Nothobranchius furzeri: one gene and its partners. The protein of the gene in region 1 purifies or fractionates together with the protein of each later gene. This does not show direct contact. Links are inferred from orthologs where the notes say so. Each region holds a gene or a part of one and is shown in the gene's direction. Other genes may lie near its edges.

Region 1 (3,301 bases):
TTTTAGGGCCCCGATTCTTAGCGTGTTGTAAATGCTAACTGGCGTAACCAGTCTCAAACTAAACTCATATTGTTAAGCAGCTTTTGATGCCTCTGGTCCCTTCTGGCCCGTTACTAGGCCAGCTAGCTAAATTGATTTTACTCTGATGACTTGTACAATTACTGAACTCACTTAGATATGCATTTCCTAGACGTAATAAGACAGACTATTGAGCGTTTTGCTAAAACCTTATCTCATCAGTGTTTGGTTAGTTGACGACAACAACGAGCTAAGACAAAAACGTCCTCCTTACCTTATTTTTATCTGCTGGACAAATATCCTTCTTTAAAGTGTCTCCTATTAAGATAAAAATTAAAGAAAAAACAAACAACTAAAGCAAGTTGGGTGACTTATATTACCACTCAGAATGAACGGCTAGCTCAACGGTTATCATTTAGAAGCATGCTGAAGCTAACCACAGGGCCTGTTTTCTGCCTCCTGGTTAAACTGTGGCCCCCTTCTGGGTGGAGGAGGAATAACACAAAATTCAAACTACAATAAAACGATCAGATTGAATGAATGGATTAACCTGATGATGACAGGTTTAAGGAATTCTAATGTATTGGTGTAAATGTTGAGGTGTTATGGTTGTCCTTACTGATTACAGCTTTGAGGTATTTTTATTTCTAAAAACAGATTAAAGACAACAAAATCACTAAACTAAAATGGCAAATGTATTCTTAAAACGTATAATGGACTTTGGCACGCATCAAAATTTAAAGATGGGTTCATTAAAGTCTCTAAAATTAGGTATTATTGATAAAATCACAAATGCTGCCAACTTTTCAAAAATATTTCATATTTAATTTTTTATTTATAGCTATTGTAACTTTATAATATAGTTCCCTCCTCATTTATTCATGCGTCTTCTCCTTAACACAAATAATCCGAAAAGGCCAAAAACAGCTTCAATAAATGTCTTCTAAACAGAACCAAAATGTAGTTGCAACTGTTCGCCACTGGAGGGCGGCAATAGCTCATTTTATTCATATAAAGTCAATTAAAACTGCGCTTGTCGCGCCGTAGCTAGCTGAGTTTAGCTATTATCATTTTAAGCAATTATATTTGTAGGAAATTTCTTAATTATGTTATTTAAAAAATCTGGGTCCTTTCTAGCAAGGGGATTACAGATGGGTTAGTACCACAATTAAGTTTCCTCAAGGCTCAGGAAAATGTGATCGCTCATTTGTCAAATGTACATAAATTATGTGTTATTGAATTAAGTATATTTTCTGAGATGTTATTCCTCCATGCCAACATGTCTTTGCATGTCTGCAAATAAAACACCGCAGAGTAGCAGGTGAGAATTACTTTTTCTAAAGAGGGACATATTTCGTTGTAACACCGGATGACAGAAGTAGAAGAATGCTAAGCTAGTTAATTTGATTCTAAGTGTGTGCATTTACTTTAATGAACATACGTTTTTACTGTTGTTGCAAATCATTAAGGCTCATTGGTAGCTGCTCCGTGAACTGTGGTAAATATTTCAATCTGGAAAAAGTGCATTTGGTGGCGATCAATGCAGCTTCTGTGAGACGAACGCCAACCCCGGAAGTAACGGGACACAGCCTTACGTTGCAGAAAACAAATCTTTTTCAAAGTTGTATTTTACTGCTATTGGATGTCGGAAGGAAGAAACTGAATAACTCGCGGACCTGAAGTGCGGTTTGAGGATGAAAGTTAAGATCAGGCAGTGGAACGGGGTGGCCTCCTGGTTGTGGGTGGCCAACGACGAAAACTGCGGGATCTGCAGGATGTCCTTCAACGGCTGCTGCCCGGAGTGTGAGTAACCGAGCTGGGATGGGTTCTGGTTCGAAAGTAGCACCAAATCCGATGTCCTAAAATTAGATTTTAAATGTCCAGAACTAGAATAGGATGCCTTACATTAGCTTAAAACTATTGTTACAGAGCTGCTGAAAGGAAAATGTTTCAGGGTATGTTTGCTGTTAAGGGTGATCCTGCCCTAATGAGATCTGGAAGGCTAACTGAGGCCTACAACGATCTATTTTATTCTATTTAGGTACATCTGAGTGACAAAGGATTACAAAACATCCTTCATCTTTTGGATCAGTAGAAGAACAAACTGTAAAATGTTACTACAGCACCTTAAGAAAGGTCTTATGAATGTTTGTTGTCTGCATCTCATATCTCAAAAACAGCATAGGTTGCTGGTTTAGCTTGTGGACAAGCATACAATGCTGGTCCAGCATCCCATGCTAGACTAGCATTACATGGTGGAGCATCTTACCAGTACCAGTACAAAAGCACAACATATGCTGGAAACCAAACCAGCTGTGCTGTATTTTTCAGCAGGTTCTCTTCAACCTTTTACAGTGACTATTAATAAAATGTAATTAAAGTCTCATTTTGCAGGTAAAGTTCCTGGAGATGACTGCCCACTGGTCTGGGGTCAGTGTTCCCACTGTTTCCACATGCACTGCATCCTGAAATGGCTGAACTCACAGCAGGTGCAGCAGCAGTGTCCGATGTGCCGCCAGGAATGGAAGTTTAAGGAGTGAATCTGTTCATCTGTTTGCAGAATTCCCACATTTTTATCCCAGCTGTAAATAACAAGAGTTGTATTCGTCTACACTGATGCACAATTTTTCTGTTAAGTTTGTGATTAAATCTAAACAAATGAATTATGCTGTTGTGCTGTTGATTTACTGCTGCATCAGACTGATTCAAACTGCAATTCTTTTCAATTAGTTGATGTTTGTGTTTAAAAAAAAGGGGGAAATGGTCAAATAAAGGACAAAAACATAAGTTTTATACAGCAGTATCTAAAGGGTCCGCTGAAAAAAATATTCATCATAGATTTGACACTGCAGGACCAGAAAGGTACTTGGAGAGCAAGTCACCCCCAAATTAACTTTCTTTTCTGATGAACTATATTCAATTCAAAAATACTTTATTAATCCCAGAGGGAAATTAGAGTTTCTGTACACACTAGGGCCCGACTGATATATCGGCCGGCCGATATTGGGGTATTGGCCTAAAAGACGGCTGATGTGGCCGATATTGCGCTACCTATCCAGCAGATGGCACCAGCTTTATGAACTCGTGTTGTGTGTCTCCACTCCTTTGAACTTTGAACACAAATTATTGTTTTGGAACTTATTTATTTATTTATTCTTATTTATGTTTCTTATGTGCAATTATTTACTGTCCAGGGTGAATAAGTTCACCAAGTTAACTTCCACTGAGTGTTACTTTGTTACAAAGCACACGTATTACGTTATATTTATTGCTGCATTTTTAT
Region 2 (3,653 bases), on another chromosome or scaffold:
AAGAGTCGAGGCTGAGCGAAGAGGAGCAGCTGCCGCTCAGTCTGTCAGCCATCATCCTGTCGTCAGAGTTCTGGCCAACGCTGAAGGAGGAGAAGCTGGAGCTCCCTGCTGTCGTCTGTCAGGCCATGGAGGCGTACACACACAGCTACGAGAAGCTCAAGGTGCGTTCGCCAGCAGGTTTTCGGTTTAAATTCCACTCCTGTTATATTCCTGTTCCTGGAGGATTTAGGAAGTCTGTGGTCGGGTTTTATGTTGGTCGTCTGTGATTTCAGGCCATGAGGACTCTGAGCTGGAAGCCTCACCTCGGTTCTGTCACTCTGGATGTGGAGCTGGAGGACCGGGTCCTATCCCACCTCACGGTGTCGCCGATCCACGCGGCCATCATCTTGCACTTCCAGGAGAAAAGTAGGGTTTTAAATTCCCCGCTCAGCTAATGTTTCCTTTTGTTACATTTGAGCCTAAAACCCGTTCTCTGGTTCTGGTTTCTCCATGGTCACCTCGTCCTCCGGATGCTAAATCCCGTCACTGAATTAGTCCTTTTGTCTCCCGTTAGGCTCTTGGACCCTGGAGGAGCTGAGCGTGAAGCTGGGCGCCCCGAAGGAGCTGGTCCACAGGAAGCTGGCCATGTGGCAGCAGCATGGAGTTCTGAAGGAGGAAGCAGGAGGGCGGTACTGTGTCCTGGAGACCCGCTCATCTAGAGAGAAACTGGACCGAGGCGTGATGCTGATCGACAGCGACGAGGAGAGAGACTCCAACACCACCACCCAGTCTGAACAGAGAGAGGAGAAGCTGCAGGTCTGCTTCTACCTGCTTCTTCTTTTTATTCACTTATTTTTCCCAACATTTTCCTGCCTTTTATCTCTTCTTTGCCTCTTCTAGGTTTTCTGATCCTTCCATTTCATTTTTTCTCATTCTAATCTGTTCTCTGTCTCTCTTCTTGATTTTTTTCTTCTTCTTCCCGCTCTAATTTTTAACTTTCAGGATTTCTGTTTAAGCAGGTTCACTGAAAGCTGAAACCCCTATGATCCGCATTAGCTCAAACCTTCCATGATGATGAAAACACACACCCTGACAGATCTACATCACACTGACACCTAACATTCATGGACTCGCCCATCTTGGCTTGTAGTGGGAAGGCTGTTGCTTAGCAGGTTTAGCGTCCAGGAAACAGCAGAGAATGCCCCGGCTAGTAGAAGCTAACCATTAGTGTTAGCAACTCCACCACACATCAGAACTCCTCCAGGCTTGTGTTATATGTGAAGGTAAGGCCTCAGTGTTGCAGAGCAAACAGATTCAGTAGTAGAGTCATGCTGTTAGCCAATCAGAGGTGAGATGTTTAAATATCAGTAAATAAGACTCTAAATCCTGTCGTCTGAAGCTATTTTCTCCTTAAAGTGAGGGTCAAGACTTGGGTGGGGACATATTTCATCCACACTTCCTGTTAGGAAAACGCTTCTGAAAGCCACACTGAGGCTGTGGTAGACCGCACCCCCCTCAACCCTCGCGTGTGCTGTCGGAGATTCTCAATCTTAAAACTAGCTGTTAGCGAGACTTCCGGGTATGGCGGCGAAGCGAGTGGAAGCATAGTCAGGAGCTCAGCGAGGGTCCAGCATTTCCCCATTTTTTCAACTACGGATAACATCAGACTTCGATAAATATATATGGGGAAATACAAAACTAAAAAGATACAAACCACAGAAAGGAAAACCGACGAAGAGAAGGACGGAATGGCGACGAGGGAAGGGAATGAAGACGCCCAAAACACGATGGCCACGCTTCAAGCTAGCATGGAGGCTATCCGGGAGGAAATCATGGCTAGCCACGTAGATATGAAAAAACACTTCAGCGAAGCTTGGGAGACGATGAGAGTTGACATGAAGCAAGAGCTGGGGAGTTTTAAGGACGAGATCAACAAGAAGATGGATGAGGTGGGGGCCAACTTAAAAAGCGCGGAGATGAGAGTGGAAGAAATGGAGCAAAGAGTGGGAGAGGTGGAAGAGTGGAGCGCTAATGCTAAAGATGTGCTCCTTCGGACCGTAGAGGAACAACAGCGAATGCTGGCCAAGCTAACTGATCTGGAGACCCGGTCACGGAGGAACAACCTTCGTATATTTGGAATACCAGAGGACCGGGAAGCTGACAACCCGACTGAATATGTGGAGAAGCTCTTAAAGACTGAACTAGGTATGCAGAATGCAGAGTTGGGGATACAACGATGCCACAGATCACTCGGGCAGAAGCCTCCTGCACACGTGCCCCCCAGATCCATGATTGTGTGTTTCCTTGAATATAACATTAAAGAGCAAGTGCTGAAGAAGGCATGGTTGAAGAAAGATATACGAATAGAAGGACATCGGATTTACATGGATCATGACTACCCGATAGAAATCATCCAGAAACGAAAAGAATATGCCCCGTTACGAAAAATACTGAAAGAAAAAGGCATAAGATTCCAGACACCCGCCCCAGCAAGGCTCCGTGTCTTCTACAAAGATGGTCCAGTTACCTACACGAATGTGACATCAGCAAAGCTAGATCTTCAGAGGAAGGGCCTGCTGAAAGGAGGAGAAGATGAGGGATCTGGAGAACCGTCCAGCAGGGGACCAGCTCAAGGGACGAACGGAACTCCAGCAAAGCCAAAAGACAATTCGTGGACGGTCAGCGGACGAGAGCGAGGACGGGGAAGAGGCGTGGATGTTCAGGGGGCTCGGGAAAAACGTACACGTTTTCACCACCCATCCCAACTGAGAGACTGAAACTGGTTAAGAGGTTGTGAGTAAACATTCCGTTTAAGGTTGATTAACATAGGCAAAGAAACACTGTTTGAGGGAGTGAAGATAAATAATATTTAATTTTAAGATGCAGACTAGGATTGTAATCGTGTTCACTTATCAGTAGACAGCTGTGGTTTGACGAAAATTAATAATTGGACCGCTGGACGGAGAAGAAGAGAGTGCATTGTCACCATCTACAGGGAGACAGGATGGTACCAGAGCAGACGTCACACTCCCTTGAGGGGCCCTCTACAGAGAGAATTCCCCTCATAGTTTTAGAAGTGAATTTCTTACTTCTTTCATGGAAGTCATGTTCAAATGTATGTTTAGTTGTTGTTCGTTATGGCACAGGTTGTTGTTGTTTTTTTACGGGTCGGGTTGATCAGTGCAGGGAGAGCCTATTTTGTAAATGTTGTTTTAAGAGAACACCATGTCATTTCAGGAATATAACATTGTATCATTAAACGTCAACGGGCTCCATAACCCCATTAAGAGGAAAAAGTGGCTACTAAGATGAGAAGGGAAAAACAAGATATAGTTTTTTGGCAGGAGACACACCTAAACAATAAGGAACATGAGAAATTAAAATGTTTGGGGTTCAAACAAATATACTACTCATCATATGGACAGAGACGTGCAAGGGGAGTGGCAATATTGATTGGAAATAAGACTAACTTTCAGTTAACTCAACAAATAGGGGACAGAAAAGGGCGATATGTTATGGTAGTGGGGCAAATTGATCATAAACCAGTGACTCTACTAAATGTTTACAGGCCGCCAGGCAATGATCAAGAATTTATTAAGAGATTATTTAATCTGATGGAGGAACACACTAAAGGAACCCTAATCTGTGGGGGGGATTGGAACGTACAACTACAG
Region 3 (4,124 bases), on another chromosome or scaffold:
TGCTGTCCCATCTGTGCTGGTCCCTAACTGCTCTCTGAGTGGGGCTAAATTTGGCCCCTAGCTCATGTTACACAGCCAGACTGCTGGCAGGAGCAATGAAGACTGAGGGGGTCTAGGTGAACAGAAGGAGCTCAAGGTGTTGGTTAATTATACACAGAAAGCACAGGATGTTGGGATGGCTAAGTTTCACACCAATTGTGCTGTTGTATGCAAGTACAACAGAATGTTTGTAATCTTTTATGATAATCTGAACTGGCCACATCTGAAAACACACAATAATCACCCATTGACCTCTCAGACTGAGCTGGTTCCTCCATGGCTTTAAAACAACTCAAAATTATTATGAGGATCTTGAAGAACCCGGTCACTATTCGGTCCGATTCCATTCTGCACACACATATGGAATGATGCTCAGCATTTTTGTTAAACTTCATGCATTTCCTGATTTCTCACCAAGCGAGACAGATATCCTGGGCCTTGGAAAGAATAAACCATGACCACCATGCAGCCTCACTTGGTCTATTTCTAGTCCACCATCACATTTTGTGCTCTCTGAGCTATTCTGGCTCTTCTTCATTCTGCTGATTACAGTTAAGTGCTGCTGATAAGTCCAGTAGGAGTTTCCATATACACTCACAATACACACGTGTGCAAACACTTGGTGAGTAATTTGGATTTCTACTTGACAATTGTCATCACCCAACCCTCTGTATGAAGTGTTATTTATAAATAACTACTTTATCCAATGGCGACGTCTCCATATAACATGTGTACAGCATCTATTTATGAGTACTGAAATATTTTAGCATAGTTTTATATCACCAGAATGAAACCACCCTTGCAAACTTTCCTATATTTCTAATGGAATTAATATAATTTAGTCAACCTTGAATTTTATGATCACTTTTAACTTTTAAATCCAAACAAATTCTAAGCAATGCATTCAATTGACAGAGAAGTACAAAAACACATTATGAAAAAACTTATTTTATATTTTGTCCTAAACCCTCAAAGTTTAAATCTACTTTTTAATCTGCATAGAATATAACATTTATTAAAAAATAAAAATAGGACCAAAACGTTAACTTTAATTTGTTTTAAATCCTTACCAAAGGCGCCATCATGGGGTGCAAATCTCTAGACATATTTAGGAATCGAGTTTTTTTTTATTCCCCCCCCCCCCCCCCCCTTCTGAATACGTTTGTCTCTTCTCGGCTGCCGTTGCTCTACAGGGATTGGTGGAAGTAGAAATATGGCGGTGTTTGAGTGACTGCGAAAATATTACGATGAGATATTAAATTCGTATATTTACGATTTGGGTTTATTTGGTGTTATCGTCTGGTCGGGTTAAAATAATCGCTGTGAATCATCAGTTTTACCTGCTAGCTAACAGCTGTTAGCAAAACCGGTGAGTGAGGCTCCAGCTAACGAGCGGCTAATTTATGCTTCATAAAATGAGTTGGAAATGGAAAAGTGTTGTGCCTTTAGCTCCCTTTTTGTTTTTGAATCTCGTTAAGTACTTCAATGTTTTCTCTTTTAGTTGTGACCCTGAAAACTCTACTGTTATCACGCAGAAAACACATAAATGTTTCAAAGCTCGTCTCCATCGCAGTGTAATTTAAGGTCTCGTTGCTCTCCGCATTGAGTTGTATTGTTTAGTGTGTCTTATTGCTGACGTCATGCTCATAACTCGGTTCTTTCATTACTGATTCTTGACTCTGCATTTGGGCCTCTGTATTCAAATGCTAACATTTCTATTTTTCTTTATTGTTACAATTATTTATTATCTTTACAGAAAAAGATTTTTAATATTTAATAATCAGTTGTATATTCAATAGTAAACGAAATATTGAAAAGGTATGTGATTTTTGATGATTATTCTGTTATGCATGTACAGGTTTATTAGATGTTTTACAGATCACTCATTGAATCTGTTCTCACTTTTAATAGCCCATCTTGGTACATCTTCTAAACCTTGTAATTAGGCCCCTGCTGGCCATTTATCACACAATAATGAATGTAAACTTTCTTTCTTTTTCAGCTAACAACATGCCTGCCTTTCGGCAAGTGGGAGAGAAGCAGCTTCCAAACCCGGTCCTCTGTATGGCATGGTCTCCAAAGAGGGATCTGATAGCTCTGGCCAACACAACTGGGGAGGTGACTTTAAATCCCTAACTGTTCTGAATCAAGGTGACTGTTTCCTGTTGTTTGGATGGTTTATTATTGTGATTTTCAACAGGTGCTACTGCATCGCTTGGCTAGTTTCCACCGGGTTTGGAGCCTACCACCCAGTGAATATACTGGAAAGAAGATAACCGCACTTGCTTGGAGGCCTGATGGCAAAAGTAAGGGATTTTTTTTTATCACATTTTTGTCTTAATGGAATTGTGAGAATTTGTTTTTTGTAACCCCAGTATTGGCCTTCAGTCTTGGAGACACCAAGCAGGTTGTCCTTTGTGGGGTTGAGAAAGCAGAGATCCTCCACATGTTTCCAGTGCAGAGTCCTGTAACCTGTATGAACTGGATGGAGGTGATGGAGGAGAGCAGGTAATCAGGAAGCTCAACAAACATACCACGTTCTGTGAAATCTTGTCAAAGCTGATATGAAGGATTTTTTGTGTGTGATTCAGTGTCCTCAGCTCCTTTTACACTTCAGAGGATGAATCTAAACTTTTTCTTCCTAAATTACCAACTCTTCCCAAGAGGTAAAATTAAAAATGTTGTCACAAGAAAAGACATTTTGGATTGACTGGCCTGATATTTGTCCAAACTTTTGTTTTCAGCTACAGCACAACTTCAAAGATCTTCAGGTGGGACATCTTTTTTTTTTATCATAGATGTATGTGGCATGTATAGCACAAACAGAAACTGACTGCATTCATTTCTGTTTCACAGTGAGGAGAAGTCTGATGAGATACTCAACCTCCTTGGAGAAGTGAGGTAAATATGGTTAGAGTCACTTACTGCCAGGAGCAAATGGACATCCTTAAGATATTGGAATTTTTATTTATGGGAACCAATGAAAGCTGTCTCCATGCAGACTAAATGTACTTGTTCTTGGAGGAGATGGTGGAAATGTGGAGCTGTATGCGTACGGGATGTACAAGATTGCAACGCTGGATGGGGTAAGGCAGCTCTGTTTGTTCAGATGAGTTGTTCCATTTGTCGTCTGTAAAAAAAATTTACCAAAAATGTTTTTAAGTGACTCTAAAGTTAGCATAGATATTTGAAATCATAAAAATTCTAATTTAAATGCAGGAAAAAAGTAGCTAATTATGCCAAAAATCTTTAGTAGACGGCATTAACGGATTTGACTGTGACTTTAATTGATGAACTTTCTACAGGTTTCAGGAACATGTCGCAGTCTGAGTCTGTCGAGTGACCTCAAGTCTCTGTCTGTCATCACAGAAGTCAAGTCTGCTGACAGCAGCGCAGACATCTGTTACGTCCAGGTGAGATGGACACGTTCCTCCTCCACACTTTGTTTTTCTTTCCTTTAACTCTAACTTCCCTCCTTGTGTTTCAGCTGGACACAGGATTGTTGTCGGACTGTTTGCCTGAACTCACCAGGATGGCGCGTAAGTTCACTCACATCTCCACCCTGATGCAGTACCTGCACCTGTCACTCACATGCATGTGCGAAGCGTGGGAGGACATCCTCCTGCAGATGGATCATCGTCTCACTAAGTTTGTTCAGGTCAGTTGTTTTTGTTTCCTGTCAGAGTTTTTCCTGGCAGACCACCACACTTCCTGCCTGCTGTGTGAGTTTGTTGGACAATTAGCAGAATTTAGCATGTGTGCTTATTAGTGATGGGATTTATAGCTCTTTCAAGGCGGCTGCTCGTTAGTTGTTCGTCTACCTTAAAGAGCAGTTCAAAAGACTAGATCCCTTGAACGAAGCCATGGGGGTGTATTTGGGAGCAACGTGTTCCTCCGGTGTCCATGAGGGCGCGCGGAGAGTGGGTGTCACAGCAGTGGTGGGGGTTGAGCGGCTAGGGGGGTTGTCGTTACAGGAAGACAAGATGAACGGCTCTCCACGGGGACTCAGCTCTCATCGTTCACTTTGAAATCTCATTCAAAAGATTTGATTTGTTCGTGAACGTCCCATCACTAGTGCTTATAAA

Evidence for each region.
Region 2: the proteins of anapc11 (region 1) and anapc2 purify together in Homo sapiens (affinity purification with western blotting; 7 studies listed by BioGRID and IntAct, with this or other methods). This does not show direct contact. The link is inferred for Nothobranchius furzeri from reciprocal best matches to the Homo sapiens genes ANAPC11 and ANAPC2.
Region 3: the proteins of anapc11 (region 1) and anapc4 purify together in Homo sapiens (affinity purification with mass spectrometry; 8 studies listed by BioGRID and IntAct, with this or other methods). This does not show direct contact. The link is inferred for Nothobranchius furzeri from reciprocal best matches to the Homo sapiens genes ANAPC11 and ANAPC4.

What each region holds. Positions count from the first base shown.
Region 1 is NC_091744.1:6,780,426-6,783,726, forward strand, and holds anapc11 (anaphase-promoting complex subunit 11), read left to right. Parts: upstream 1-1,362; 5' UTR 1,363-1,712; coding exon 1,713-1,821; intron 1,822-2,412; coding exon 2,413-2,558; 3' UTR 2,559-2,681; downstream 2,682-3,301. UniProt on the Homo sapiens protein: Together with the cullin protein ANAPC2, constitutes the catalytic component of the anaphase promoting complex/cyclosome (APC/C), a cell cycle-regulated E3 ubiquitin ligase that controls progression through mitosis and the G1 phase of the cell cycle.
Region 2 is NC_091745.1:17,492,566-17,496,218, forward strand, and holds part of anapc2 (anaphase-promoting complex subunit 2), read left to right. Parts: coding exon 1-161; intron 162-272; coding exon 273-405; intron 406-553; coding exon 554-795; intron 796-3,653. UniProt on the Homo sapiens protein: Together with the RING-H2 protein ANAPC11, constitutes the catalytic component of the anaphase promoting complex/cyclosome (APC/C), a cell cycle-regulated E3 ubiquitin ligase that controls progression through mitosis and the G1 phase of the cell cycle.
Region 3 is NC_091748.1:39,288,563-39,292,686, forward strand, and holds the start of anapc4 (anaphase-promoting complex subunit 4), read left to right. Parts: upstream 1-1,229; 5' UTR 1,230-1,408; intron 1,409-2,041; 5' UTR 2,042-2,049; coding exon 2,050-2,157; intron 2,158-2,239; coding exon 2,240-2,345; intron 2,346-2,414; coding exon 2,415-2,547; intron 2,548-2,630; coding exon 2,631-2,705; intron 2,706-2,783; coding exon 2,784-2,810; intron 2,811-2,895; coding exon 2,896-2,940; intron 2,941-3,040; coding exon 3,041-3,125; intron 3,126-3,344; coding exon 3,345-3,452; intron 3,453-3,526; coding exon 3,527-3,697; intron 3,698-4,124. UniProt on the Homo sapiens protein: Component of the anaphase promoting complex/cyclosome (APC/C), a cell cycle-regulated E3 ubiquitin ligase that controls progression through mitosis and the G1 phase of the cell cycle.